2 linked regions of the Anolis sagrei genome follow. The protein of the gene in region 1 purifies or fractionates together with the protein of each later gene. This does not show direct contact. Links are inferred from orthologs where the notes say so. Each region holds a gene or a part of one and is shown in the gene's direction. Other genes may lie near its edges.

What was found. Proteins that work in one complex are often made in the same cells at the same time.
Region 2: the proteins of PPP2R2A (region 1) and CDCA4 purify together in Homo sapiens (affinity purification with mass spectrometry; 4 studies listed by BioGRID and IntAct, with this or other methods). This does not show direct contact. The link is inferred for Anolis sagrei from reciprocal best matches to the Homo sapiens genes PPP2R2A and CDCA4.

What each region holds. Positions count from the first base shown.
Region 1 is NC_090027.1:6,823,436-6,831,171, forward strand, and holds the start of PPP2R2A (serine/threonine-protein phosphatase 2A 55 kDa regulatory subunit B alpha isoform), read left to right. Parts: upstream 1-4,712; 5' UTR 4,713-4,727; coding exon 4,728-4,854; intron 4,855-5,433; coding exon 5,434-5,511; intron 5,512-7,736. UniProt on the Homo sapiens protein: Substrate-recognition subunit of protein phosphatase 2A (PP2A) that plays a key role in cell cycle by controlling mitosis entry and exit. Involved in chromosome clustering during late mitosis by mediating dephosphorylation of MKI67.
Region 2 is NC_090021.1:328,645,918-328,653,280, reverse strand, and holds the start of CDCA4 (cell division cycle-associated protein 4), read left to right. Parts: upstream 1-4,316; 5' UTR 4,317-4,421; intron 4,422-7,363. UniProt on the Homo sapiens protein: May participate in the regulation of cell proliferation through the E2F/RB pathway. May be involved in molecular regulation of hematopoietic stem cells and progenitor cell lineage commitment and differentiation.

The sequences.
Region 1 (7,736 bases):
TCCATCATTTCCATGCAACCTGGGTTATTTTACAGAGAGATTGAAACCTGTGTGGAAATTGCAGCTTGTTGATTTGCGAGATACTTAACAGTTTTGGCTACAAAGACTTAGATTGTATCTTGTTGATTTGCAAGATACTTAACAGCATGTGTGAGTGGCTGATCCAGGTCCATCATTTCCATGCAACATGGGGAGTTTCTTACAGAGAGATTGAAATCTGTGTGGAAATTGCAGCTTGTTGATTTGCACGATACTTAACAGCATGTGTGAGTGGCTGATCCAGGTCCATCATTTCCATGCAACCTGGGGAGTTTCTTGCAGAGGGATTGAAAGCTGTGTGGAAATTGCAGCTTGTTGATTTGCGAGATACTTAACAGTTTTGGCTACAAAGACTTTTAGATTAGGTTGCATGTGTGAATGCCTGACCTGGGTTCATCATTTCCATGCAACCTGGGTTTTTGTTTACAGAGAGATTGAATGCTGTGTGGAAATTTCAGTTTGTTGATTTGCAAGACACTTAATAGCTTTGGCTGCAAAAAGCAAGTTTTAGATTGGGCTGCATGTGTGAATGGCTGACCTGGGTTCATCATTTCCATGCAACCTGTTTCTTACAGAGAGATTGAAAGTTGTGTGGAAATTGCAGCTTGTTGATTTGCCAGACACCATCAGCTTTTGCTGCAAAAAGCGAGTTTTAGATTAACCTGTATGTGTGAATGCCTAACCTGGGTTCAGCATTTCCATGCAACATGGCATATCCTGGAGTATTTCTTACAAAGAGATTGAAAGCTGTTTGGAAATTACAGCTTGTTGATTTGCAAGACACTAATAGGTTTGGCTGCAAAAAGCGAGTTTTACCTTGGGTTGCATGTGTGAATGGCTGACCTGGGTTCATCATTTCCATCATTTCAAATCCTGGAGGGTTTCTTACAGATTAAAACCTGTGTGGAAATTGCAGCTTGTTGATTTGCAAGGCACTAACAGATTTCGCTGCAAAAAGCGAGTTTTTGATTGAGCTGCATGTGTGAATGCCTAACTTGGGTTCAACATTTCCATGCAACATGGCATATCCTGGAGTGTTTCTTACAGAGAGATTGAAAGCTTTGTGGAAATTGCAGCTTGTTGATTTGCAAGACACTAAGAGCTTTGGCTGCAAAAAGCGAGTTTTAGATGTGTGAATGGCTGACCTGGGTCCATCATTTCCATGCAACCTGGGCATGTCTTACAGAGAGATTGAAACCTATGTGGGAATTGCAGCTCGTTGATTTGCAAGACACTCACAACTTTGGCTGCAAAAAGCGAGTTTTAGATTGGGCTGCATGTGTGAATGTCTGACCTGGGTCCATCATTTCCATGCAACCTGGGCATGTCTTACAGAGAGATTGAAACCTATGTGGGAATTGCAGCTCGTTGATTTGCAAGACACTCACAACTTTGGCTGCAAAAAGCGAGTTTTAGATTGGGCTGCATGTGTGAATGGCTGACCTGGGTCCATAATTCCCATGCAATCTGGGGGTTTCTTACAGAGAGATTGAAAGCTGTGTGGAAATTGCAGCTTGTTGATTTGCAAGACACTTGACAGTTTTGGCTGCAAAGTGCGGGTTTTGGATTGGGATGTATGTGTGAATGGCTGACCTGGGTCCATCGTTTCCATGCTGGTGGTTTCTTACAGACAGAATAAAACCTGTGTGGAAATTGCAGCTTGTTGATTTACAAGACATGTAATAGCTTTGGGTGCAAAAAATGAGTTTTAGATTGGGCAGCATGTATGAATGGCTGACCCGGGTTCATCATTTCCATGCAACACAACATCTGGAGGATTTCTCACAGAGAGATTGAGACCTGTGAGGAAATTGCAGCTTGTTGAGCTTGCATGGTTTGAAAATGCAAAAGATCCACCCTTCTGCAAACCCTTCTTCAGTTTCCTCTCTACCTTGCAATCTGTTCACAAACACAAAGATTCAGAATCTGGCAACATGGGCCAGATTGTGTTGAGGTTTGTGTTGAGGTTTGTGTTGAGGTTTGTGTTGAGGTTTGTGTTTGTCTCCAATCTTTCCACCAAGAAAGCTTTGAATGGAGGGAGGTTGTGAGTACTGCCAAAGAAACCCCGCGTTTTCTGCATGAGTTATTTTTCTCCTGCAGGCAAATCCGTCAATGGGATTTGCCTGCATTTATTCAGAGTGGCTTCTTCTGAGGCTGAGAGAGTGTGGCTTACCTAAAATTGTTTTCCACAACTGAATGGAGATTCAGACTCGGCTTTCCCAGTGTCCTTAGTCCAAAACCACCCTAACCGTTTTCCATGAGTGCATCTAAACTGTCAAATTAACACAGTTTGACACCATTGTGACTGCCACAGCCTATTGCTACGAAATCCTGGGAGTTGTAATAATTTTGTGTAGTACTCTGGCAGAGAAAGCTCAGGACGCATTGTCGAAGGCTTTCATGGCTTGAATCACTAGGTTGCTGTGAGTTTTTCGGGCTGTAAGGCCATGTTCCAGAAACATTCTCTCCTGACGTTTCGCCCACATCTATGGCAGGCATCGTCAGAGGTTGTGTTTCTTTTTTTTTTTGTGAAGTTTTTAAAATTTTTATTTATAAATTTATCAAACAAAATGCATAAGCATACATTCTTCCCACTTTTTACAACATCGTAGACAGAAGAGTATGTCATATTATATACAATCTAACAGTAAAAAAGAATCAAAAACATCTTTAAACATATTTCTTATCTTTTTAAAACTTTCCATACACCTTATACTATGTATACCTCTACCACACACCTTTTATCTACTTATACATACTTTATTTCTTTATAATTAGTATTTTGTCATTTTCCCCCTCTTCCCCTTAGTTTCTAATATAATTTCTGTTCTAGTTTTATTTTGCTGTAACATGTTGTCCGGGCTTGGCCCCATGTAAGCCGCTCCGAGTACCCATTGGGGAGATGGTTGGCGGGGTATAAATAAAATTTATTATTATAATATAGTTTCCAATATACTTCACAACCTCTGAGGATGCGTGACATAGATGTGGGTGAAATGTCAGGAGAGAATGCTTCTGGAACATGGCCATAAAGCCTGGAAAACTCACAGCAACCCAAAGCTTAGGACCTTTCAAAATTTTAACTCCCAGTATCCCATTGCAAAGAGCAATGGTAGTCCAAGTGCTGTTGAACTACATTCAGTTTGCAATGTGCTTATTTTTTATTTATTTACGACATTTATATGCCACCCTTCTCACTCCGAAGGGAACTCAGAGCGGCTTACAAGATATATATACATGCAATATATTGTATTATTAGCATAGTACAATATCAATAGTATTGTCGAAGGCTTTCATGGCTGGAATCACTAGGTTCTTGTGGGTTTTTTCGGGCTATAGGGCCATGTTCTAGAGGCATTTCTCCTGATGTTTTGCCTGCATCTATGGCAAGCATCCTCACTACCTCTGAGGATGCTTGCCATAGACGCAGGCGAAACAGGAGAAATGCCTCTAGAACATGGCCCTATAGCCCGAAAAAACCCACAAGAACCTAATATCAATAGTGTAGATGCAATTTATAGTGTAGATCAGGGATCCTCAAACTATGACTTGGGGGCCGGATACAGCCCTCAAAGTTCATTTATCCATCCCTCGCTCAGGGTCAACCTAAGTCTGAAACAACTTGAAAGCACACAACAACAATCCTATCTAATCAACAAAAGCAGGCCCACATTTCCCATTGAAATACTAATAAGTTTATATTTGTTAAAATCGTTCTTCATTTTCATTATTGTATTATTTTTAGTGTTTTTGCACTACAAATAAGATATGTGCTGTGTGCATAGGAATTTATTCATTTTTTTCCAAATTATAATCTGGCCCTCCAAGAGTTTAAGCAAGCCCACATTTCCCATTGAAATACTAATACATTTATATTTGTTAAAATCGTTCTTCATTTTAATTATTGTATTATTTTAAGTGTTTTTACACTACAAATAAGATATGTGCAGTGTGCATAGGAATTTTTTTTCCAAATTATAATCCAGCCCTCCAAGAGTTTGAGCGACTGTGACCTGACCCTCTCTTTAAAAAGTTTGAAGACCCCTGGTGTAGATCAAGCCTTGGCAAACTTTGGGTCTCTGGGTATTTAGGACTGCAGCTCCCACAATTCCTAACAGCTGGTAGTTTGCCCATGCCTGGTATAAATGCAGTCTTAAACCCCCCCCTAAAAAAAAAAGAAGAAAAGAATTTGAAATGTATAGAAAACACACTGTAATCTTCAGGAGGCCTTGTTTACCTCTTCGGCAAGGTTGTTTTGAATCAGTGTATTGAACTATAATTACAAAGTAAAATACCTTTTTTCCAGTTCAGCGTGGTGCCCAAATAGGGAGCAACGTTTTCTTTTCACAAAGTAACAAAGGAAGATGGAAATAGAACACTTGTGGATTGTTTGCGCTTTTCCTGTGCTCTGATGGCTGTGTGGCGATGGAGTGACCACTCTTCCCCTTCTGGCTTGAACTTTTTCTTAAGTTGCTTGATTGTTGCTGTTGTTGTTTTTTTTAAGGAAGGGAGGAACTCCTCCCTCTCTTGCTCCATCCCCTTGGTCAAGATGCCACGGTTACGCAGCTGTTTTCACACACACGCACACACACACATCTTCGTTTTCAGGGGAAATATTCAGGGAAAGCTCCATTTTGATAACTGCCTTTCAGCTTCCTCCACGAGCCTTACCCAATGACTTGCTCCGAATGACATGTCCAAGAAATGGGTGGCGTGTCTTTGGCATGTTTGGGTGGAAGGTTCAAATGATTCACCGCCTTCCTTCTGCCGGGGCAGGAATGTTCTTGAAGCTTTCTCTCCGGTCCATCTTTTACGGTAGTTTCAAGTTTATTTGTAACTGAGGTGACTTCTTCAAGTTTCAGAATTATAGATTTCTTTTATAACAACAATCTTAAGTTTTATTCTTGTTCTACTTTCTGTAAATGGCAGAAATGAAGTTGTCAACAAATTAAAAAAATGTTCCCTTATGCTGCTTCACTCCTGATTCTAGTAACTTAGAAGTAAAGTTCCAAAGTTTGTGTGTGAGAGAAAGTTTGGTTTGTAAGAAGAGCAGTCATGCATTGTGTGTTGTGTATCTTCAGAGTGTGACAGCTTATGAAGTTGAGTAGTTGTGACCTGTCTTTGTAGAGAAACTGATTGCGACTGTGTTCATTTGGACACATCCCTAGTGACAAAAATGTTGTGGGCTGTGTTGAGGGACAATAAGAAGAGCTTGCAAGTAACTTTCTGCTTTGGAAATACTCTTCGCCTTTGTGGGCGTGGTGGGTGCTCCCTTTACATTTCCTATCCTTGCCAACAATCGCTGGGTATCAGACTGGAATGCTAACATTGTGCAGTCAAGCTTAATAACCAGGGTGTTGCCCAGCTTTTATTTAACTTTTGTTTTGTTTCTAGGAGCCGGTGGCGGCGGGAATGACATTCAGTGGTGTTTTTCTCAGGTGAAAGGGGCTGTGGATGATGATGTAGCAGAAGGTAAGAACAAGATCTGATTTAACCTGTTTGTATTATTAACAGCAGTAGGATTCTGGTACTGGTAGTTTATTAGGTATTACTTGAAATTATTGTTTATTGTATTCTCATGTTTTATTTAGTTTACTGTGTTGATTGTTCTGTATTCTGGTTTTATTTTATTGTAATGTTCTGTTGGGCTTGGCCTCATGTAAGCCGCCCCGAGTCCCCATTGGGGAGATGGTGGCGGGGTATAAATAAAGTTTATTATTATTATTTGAAACACAACAAGATGAGTCCACAGCAGACAAGATCACTTTGCTGGCTGTTGTATTGGATTACACATCGGACAATTCCCAAGTGTTTAGGACTGTGTGATGTATCGGTGAATGATGCATGCAGATCCCAGTAAGGTGGCCTTCTGCAGCTGGCAGATGGTAATCTTGTCAGCGCCGATTGTGTTTAAGTGCAGGCCAAGGTCTTTAGGCACTGCACCCAGTGTGCCGATCACCACTAGGACCACCTTGACTGGCTTGTGCCAGAGTCTTTGCAGTTCGATGTTTAAATCCTCATATTGTGTCAGCTTTTCCAGATTATTATTATTATTATTATTATTATTATTGTGTCACCCCAAGTTTGTATTCCTTGTGTCAACAGTAAATTGTGAAAGCTTGAACCTTGCGTCACACAGCAGCTTTTCTATATACAGTCCCTGGGTTTTTACCTCGTTGCTCCATGTGATATCAGGCTACTTAATTATGTGTCTTTAGGTGAGCAATATTATCAGCAGTGAAATTATTTTAGTACTATCCCTTTTATTAAGTATTTCTTGAAATCTCCTTGTTTCACCCAAGTTTTAGTTCCTTATCTCCATATGTGAACAGCAAGTGTTCAGAATATTTATTTATTTATTTACGGCATTTATATGCCGCCCTTCTCACCCTGAAGGGGCTCAGAGCGGCTTAGAATGTATATTTTCATACAATATATTATATTATTAGCATAGTACAATGTCAGTATATATTACTATATATCCTGATAATATCCATCCTTTGACAACGCATCCATCCTCAAATATATTCTAAGAAATTGGATATGTAGTTAGATTAGTCCTTCACAATGTGCTTATCTCTAAAGGTCCTAGATTATGATTCCAACACTCTTATAGCCAGTAACTTGGTACAACTTTCTGATATAGCTGAATAAGCCACCCAGTTTGACACACATGATGCTGAGTGGAAACATCACACAAGTTATGTAAAATTTATTTTTCAGAAGAACTGTTATGTTGTTTTCTTCAAGTTAACCTATATTTAATGCTTCTCCCATCTTTGTATACATTTTCTGAGGAGACTTTAAATTGCAGTACAATTTTTAGCATATGGAGTTAAATGCTTGGTGTAATGTCATGGGAGATGGAGAATACATGATGAGGAGAGGGGCACAACTCAATGTAGGACAGCAGTTTTTAGTGTCATCTGTGCTCCATGTGAAACGGGGAGCATGAGGCCTCCCAGGTGCTGTGATATTTGCATTTAGCTCAAAGATTGAGAAATCCTCCTTATACCATGACTACAACTTCCATCATCTCTCAACATTGCATGTCGTAATCGAGCGGTATCTGCATGATCACAGAGTTGTTGTTTGTGCTCTAAATACATCACACTTGTAGTCGCCAGCTGTGATGAAGACTATCTTTGTTTGCAATTGAACTGGATGTCAGTGCATTTTCCTTTTAGTAAATGAATACAGACACAAATTTTTGCTCTGTACACATTCACTATTGAATGATATGTTTTTCTAGCAAGAAACAGTCAGACAAGTCCAGTGTTGTCTGATCCTTGATAGTATCCTTCAAATCTTGAAAGTCTATCATGCATTTGGAATATAATTACTAGGGGATGCTATGCATACTAGGTAGCCAGGACTTGAGTCATTTTCAGAACTTATTCTAAAAAAACCCTTTGTTTGAGAATTGCTTTGTTTTTGAGAAGCTCTGTGATTCATGCTGCATGCACTGTGTCAAATGGTTATTTTGCATTTGATCCATTGTCTCCTTAAAACAAAATATGTCTAATACTGTATATAAGCCTAGTTTTCAGCCCTTTTTTTAGGCTGAAAAAGCTCCCCTCTGCTTATACTCGAGTCAAGGCTATTTATTCTTTTATTCTGTTATTAGTATTTTTATTTTATGTATTTTATTACATTTACAGTATTTTACTCTATTATTATGATTATTATTACATTTA
Region 2 (7,363 bases), on another chromosome or scaffold:
TTCCCCAGGGAAAGGAGTGTGCCTTTAGATAGAGATAGTGAAATTCCACAAGTGCAGGTGGAGACTCCTTTTGGTTCCGAGTGAACCGGCCCAGCTGGGCCAAGATAAGCAGTTGTATAGCCTTGAAGATAATGGTGAATTAATGAGCAGACAGGATCGTTTGCAATTAAGGCTTTGCAGAAACACATGCCTTGCCAGCAAGAAGGAAGCCAAAGGTCAACGCAATGCTTTCATGTCAGGTAAACTTATTTAACGATGTAGCTGACAGGCATTTCTTGTCAGCCCAATGTTGCTTCTTACCCATTAACTTCTGTGGAATTACCTTGGCTTTTGCGGAACACCTCTGGCTCCTTTGAGACTTGATTCTGATCCTGATTTTACCTGTTTGCCATGGACTCTTGTTTGACATTGCTAAGGGATTATGCTTCATGCTATTTGCCTGTGGATCTTGTGAAGCTTGTCTTTGCATTTAAGACTCTGTTTTGCCTATTGAATTTTTGCATATTTATTTCTCTGTTTTGATTTTGCTTTTTCTCAATAAACTACAAAACCTACAGCTTTGGTGTATGGTGGTGTCTTGAGCAAGGTGAAAACTACCCTAAGTTGCGACAGTTGTACTGTATTTTTTGGGCTTGACCTCATGTTAGCCACCATGAGTCCCCATTGGGGAGATGGTGGGGGGTATAAATAAAGATGATGATGATGATTATTATTATTATTATGGTGTATTGGGCATCGAGTCATTGCCTCTGTAAACCGCCCTGAGTCGCCTGAGGGCTGAGAAGGGCGGTATACAAAGACAGCAAATAAATAAACAAATAACACAGTCCCGAACTGATTTTTACATGCTCCCAACAGGTTTAATCTCCAATTTGAGAGAAAAACTGAATGAGTGTGCCACGAAATGATGCAGGTCTAAAACGTGTGTCACCAACATGAAATGTTTGGAAATCTCTGCTTTATGGGATTGATTGAATGAAGCTGTAGTGTGAGTTTGGAAATATTGTAACAGCACCCCATTGATGGCCAATACATACTGAAATACTGTATCTTTTGGTGTTTACAGATTCCCCTTTTTCTCCTTTCTTCCCTTCTTTCTATCGCGTTGAGCTTGTTTGCCTTTCCTGGGTGCTTAGATAGAAATCTCTGGCCGTTTCCTCCTGCCTTTCTGTTTCCAGTTTTTGAACCTCCTCTTCCCTTCCCAAAGAAAGCTGCAAGTCAGGAGCTGCAAGGCTGCTGCCTCCCGCTGCCTTTCTCTCCTCTTTTCTCCTTGTCGCCTGGAGCAAACCTGCCTTTCCCCTCCTCCCTCCTGATCAGAAAAGGCAGCCAGCCAACTCTGGAAAGCGCCCAAGGCCTTTCAAGCCAAGCTCAGCAGAAGAAGCAGCCAAAGGATTGGCAAAGGTGCAAGAACAGGCCAGGCAAGCTGGAAGGGAAAGGGAGAAGAAGAGAAGAAATGCAGCAGAACCACCCAAGAACAGCGGAAGGAAAGTTGCTCCTAACTGCCATCAAGTCACCTTCGACTTATGGCAAGCTTATGAATGAGACCTCCATGTCCCCAAATCATAGTATCATAGTTGGAAGAGACTTCGAGGGCCATCAAGTCCAACCCCCTGCCAAGAAGCAGGAAAAAAAATTAAAATTTTTATTAAGAGTTTTCTACATGGGGGATACATCCATGTTATGAGAATCGTCGACACAACAATTACGTAAAAGCAAATGATAAGGATTGGGGTGGGGGAGGGGGTAGAGGTGAGTGAAGGGAGTACAGGGAGTAGGAAATGGGTCGGGGAGAGTTCGTGATCTTAATTACTGATTTTGCCCCATATAACATTGTTAGTGTTAGTATTATTTTCTAGTCTTGACTCTCACATGTCTAGGTCTGGTTGACATTGAAGTATTTTTTGATTGGAGACCAATCTGTCCTGGCTATGCCAGTCGTCTGTTTATATTCCAGGTGCTGTGTTAGAGTGTCCATATTTATTATGTCTAGGAGTTTAAACATCCATTCTTCCACCGTTGGTTTCTCTTTATTCTTCCATTTTCTTGCTAGTACAATTCTTGCAGCCATTGCCATATGGAAGAATTTGTTGTTGTTCATTCATTCAGTCATCTCCGACTCTTCGTGACCTCATGGACCAGCCCACGCCAGAGCTCCCTGTCGGCCGTCACCACCACCAGCTTCTTCAAGGTCAGTTCAGTCTCTTCAAGGATGCCATCCATCCATCTTGCCCTTGGTCGGCCCCTCTTCCTTTTACCTTCCACTTTCCCCAGCATAATTGTCTTCTCCAGGCTTTGCTATCTCCTCATGATGTGGCCAAAGTACTTCAACTTTGTCTCTAGTATCCTTCCTTCCAGTGAGCAGCCGGGCTTTATTTCCTGGAGGATGGACTGGTTGGATCTTCTCGCAGTCCAAGGCACTCTCAGAGCTTTCCTCCAACACCACAGCTCAAAAGCATCTTCCTTCGCTCAGCCTTCCCTAAGGTCCAGCTCTCACATCCGTAGGTTACTACAGGGAATACCATGGCTTTGACTAGACGGATCTTTGTTGCCAGTCTGATGTCTCTACTCTTTACTATTTTATTGAGACTGGACATTGCTCTCCTCCCAAGAAGTAAGCGTCTTCTGATTTCCTGGCCACAGTCTGCATTTGCAGTAATCTTTGCACCTAGAAATACAAAGTCTGTCACGGCCTCCACATTTTCTCCCTCTATTTTCCAGTTGTCAATCATTCTTGTTGCCATGATCTTGGTTTTTTTGACGTTTAGCTGCAACCCAGCTTTTGTGCTTTCTTCTTTCACCTTGATTAGAAGGCTCTTCAGCTCCTCCTCGCTTTCGGCCATCAGAGTGGTGTCATCTGCATATCTGAGGTTGTTAATGTTTCTTCCAGCAATTTTCACCCCAGCTTTGCATTCATCCAGCCCCGCACATCGCATGATGTGTTCTGCATACAAGTTAAAAAGGTTGGGTGAGAGTATGCAGCCTTGCCGTACGCCTTTCCCAATCTTGAACCAGTCTGTTGTTCCGTGGTCAGTTCTGACTGTTGCTACTTGGTCCTTGTACAGATTCCTCAGGAGAGAGACAAGGTGGCTTGGTATGCCCATCCCACCAAGAACTTGCCACAATTTATTATGATCCACACAGTCAAAGGCTTTAGAGTAGTCAATGAAGCAGAAATAGAGTTATGTATACTTTTGTATAATTGTTAATTGCTATGCTATGTATTACCTTGAGTGACATTACTTTATTTATCGTGTCATCAGCAACCATACCATTGTATTACAATTCTAACAGAGCAAAACAAACACACAGATTAAAAAGAAAAAGAAAAAAACACACAGATTTTGCAAACTTGGTAGTTGGTTAAATGTCCTTTGACCAGGATCTGGCCACTTGGAGTGCCTCTGGTGTTGCCGCAAGAAGGTCCTCCATTGTGCATATGGCAGGGCTCAGGGTGCATTGCAGCAGGTGGTCAGTGGTTTGCTCTTCTCCGCACTCGCATGACGAGGTTTCCACCCTGTAGCCCCATTTCTTAAGATTGGCTCTGCATCTCGTGGTGCCAGAGCGCAGTCTGTTCAGTGCCTTCCAAGTCACCCAGTCTTCTGAGTGCCCAGGGGGGAGTCTCTCATCTGGTATCACCCATGAATTGAGGTGCTGAGTTTGGGCCTGCCACTTTTGGACTCTCGCTTGCTGGGGTGTTCCAGCGAGTGTCTCTGTAGATCTAAGAAAACTATGTCTTGATTTAAGTCGTTGACATTACTGGCAGAATATAATAATATGTGTTAACAACAATAATAATGTTTCAAAATCCATTAAAACAGAAACAATGAGTGGAGAATACTATAATTAAAACAAACAAACCATCTGGTCCACGAGCAAAGCTAAAGCATTAGGTAACCATGCAAAACGTATGGGTTTCAATGGCTTCTCTGTGTAGTTTATATGTGTAGTTTCAATGGCTTCTCTGTGTAGTTTATAGTTTCTCATAAGCTTTGGCAGGCATTTGAAACTTGCCTTTCCTGGCGCCAGCCACTTACAGCGAAGGGGCGGGGCTAATCCAGCAACCGCCAATAGGAAGCCGAGAGCGGAGCAATGAATGGCGGGAGGGGCTAGTAACCATAGCAACTCTGAAGGCACATTCGATCACAGAGAGAAAACCCCTCCTTTCCTTGCCCACCAATAGGAAGCGAAGGTTCAGTCCCTCCTCCAATGAAAAGAGAGAGAGGGATGAGGGGCGTGGCCACAGGCGGCAGCGGGCTCCTTTGTGGAGTGTGACAATGAGGTGGCGGGGAGGGGCGCGCGAGTGAGCGGAGGGGGCGTGGCCTCTGCGGCCGTTGGCCCCGCCCCTTTTCTCTCAGGCGCGGAGGAGAGCGTTGAGGCGAGCGGGCGGGCGAGCGAGCGCCGTGGCTTCGTCCGGGCGGAAGGTAAGCCCATCGGGGCCGCGGGCGCGCCAGGGAGCGGAGGGGGCCTTTCCGGCGTGACGCTCGGAAGCTAGGCCTCGGCGTGGCGGCAGGGAAGCCGCGGCGGAGCCCTCCGAAGAAGAGGAGCCCGCCAAGGGTCACTGGGCCGCGGCTCCAAAATGGCGGCGGAGGAGGAGCAGGCTCTGGAGTATCACACAGGCCCACGCTGAAGCCTCTCTTTTCAGAAGGAAGTGGATCAGGAGCGAGCCAGGAGGGGCTTTGTAGTCTTTGAAAGCCACATTTTACAGCAGGCCTGGGCAAACTTGGTCCCTCCTTCCAGGTGTTTTGGACTACAACTCCCACAATTCCTAACAGCCTCAGGTCCTTTCCTTTACCCCCTCAGCCGCTTATGGAAGCAAACTTAACCAATTTGAACAAATAATACAGAATGGAAGGGTTGTAGAAGAGCATGAAAATTTGAGAGAAAGAACTAGGTCAGTGTTTCTCAACCTGGGGGTCGCGAGGGGGTGTCAGAGGGGTCACCAAAGACCATAAGAAAACACAGTATTTTCTGATGGTCATGGGGATTCCATGTGGGAAGTTTGAGCCAATTCTATCGTTGGTGGAGTTCAGAATGTTCTTTGATTGTAATGAACTATAAATCCCAGCAACTACAACTCCCAAATGTCAAGATCTATTTCCCCCAGACGCCACCAGTGTTCACATTTGGGCATATTGAGTATTCGTGCCAAGTTTGGTCCAGATCCACCAATGCATGAGTCCACACTGCTCTCTGGATATAGGTGAACTACAACTCCCAAACTCAAGGTCAATGACCATCAAACCCTTCCAGTGTTTTCCATTGGTCATGGGAGCCAAGTTTGGTTCAAATCCATTGCTGGTGGAGTTCAGAATGCTCTTTGATAAGTGAACTATAAATCCCAGCAACTACAACTCCCAAATTACAAAATCAATCCTCCTCCAACCCCACTAGCATTCACATTTGAGTGTATTGGGTATTTGTGCCCAGTTTGGTCCAGTGAATGAAAATGCATCCTGCATATCAGATATTTACATTATATATTTACATTATATTATAACTGTAGTAAAATGACTGTTATGAAGTAGCAATGAAAACAATATTATGGTTGGGGGTCACCACCACATGAGGGACTGTATTAAGGGGTCACGGCATTAGGAAGGTTGAGAACCACTGAACTAGTAAAATATATAAGATCATAATTGAAATAAAGGAAGGAAACACAAAAAACAACACCCTCAAAGAGGTTTGGGAAGAAGATTTAGGGATAAAAATAAACGAAACAGAGTGGCAACAATTATGGAGACAAAGACATTTAAAAGAATTATCAATACGGGTTCAAGAAAATTATTATAATAAGCTAATATGGAAGTGGTATCTTGACACCAGTAAAAATAGAATATATAAATAAAAGTAATTCAAAAATTGTTGGAGAGGATGTCAAGAACCAGGAACATACATACATATGTGGTAGCAATGTAAATATGTAAGTAATGTTTGGGAGAAAGTATTTAGAGAAATAAGAGAGATAATGTATATGAAAATTGAGAAAAGTCCTAGTATAGCTTTATTATCATTATATAACAATAAACAATTGAAAAAGGAGGATAAAGAAGTGATAACAAACTTATTAACAATAGCAAGACTGCTCATAGCAAGGAACTGGAAAAAAGAAATAAATATACAAATAGAGGAGTGGTACAAGGAAGCATGGAAACTGGCAATAAACGATAAGCTGACATGTATATTAAAAGTTAAAAAAAGGTATATGGAAAAAAAGTGATTTTGATGTTGTATGGGGAAAATTTGTTGTAAATGGTTTAAAAAATTTACCGCCACAAGAAGAAATGAGATTTTGGACAAATGATATGTAAAAGTTGTGGCTTGAGTTGGGGGGAGGGAAGCACAGTGGTGGGAAAAAAAGGGGGGAAATGCTTAAGCAGAATAAGACTATATGTTAAAGAGTGTGCTGAATAATATGTAACTGCTATAAACAAATGTATAACAAATGTAATAACTATGATAAAACAATAAAAATATATTTTTTTTAAAAAAGGAATTGTGGGAGTTGAAGTCCAAAACACCTGGAGGGAGGGACCAAGTTTGTCCAGGCCCTTTATACAGTCTTTAATGGGTTTTAGGGAATTTCAACAAATAATAATAATATATATACACATACTTCTATTTAAAACTAGCCATCCCCTGCCATATATATATATGGATGCTCTGTGCATAATGAGTACCTTAAAAACAAAAGAACCAATGAACAAAATCACATCAAAATTGGCAACAAAACATCTTGCAACACAAGGAGTGCCCATCACTCAAAAAATTATGATTTTGTCATTTGGGAGTTGTACTTGCTGGGATTTATAGTTCACATACAATCAAAGAGCGTTCTGAACTCCACCAATGATGGAATTTAACCAAATGTGGCACACAGAACTCCCATGACCAACAGAAAACACTAGAAGGATTTGGTGGGCATTGACCTTGAGTTTGGGAGTTGTAGTTCATCTATATCCAGAGAGCACAGTGGACTCAAACAATGATGGGTATGGACCAAACTTGGCACGAATATTCCATATGCCCAAATACGAACACAGATGAGGTTTGGGGAAAATAGACCTTGACATTTGGGAGTTGTATTTAGTGGGATTTATAGTTCATCTACAATCAAAGAGCATTCTGAACGCCACCAATGATAGAATTGGGGCAAACTTCCCACACAGAACCCCCATGGCCAACAGAAAATACTTAAGGCCAACCAGTCCAGCTGTCTTCACCAGGGCAAGAAAATGTAATCAAAGCCCTTCTGACAAAGAGCCACCAATCCATAGATATAGATAGATAGATAGATAAATATGAGACGCACACACATAGTATCATAGATTTGAAAGGGACCCCTAAAGAAGGACAATTATAT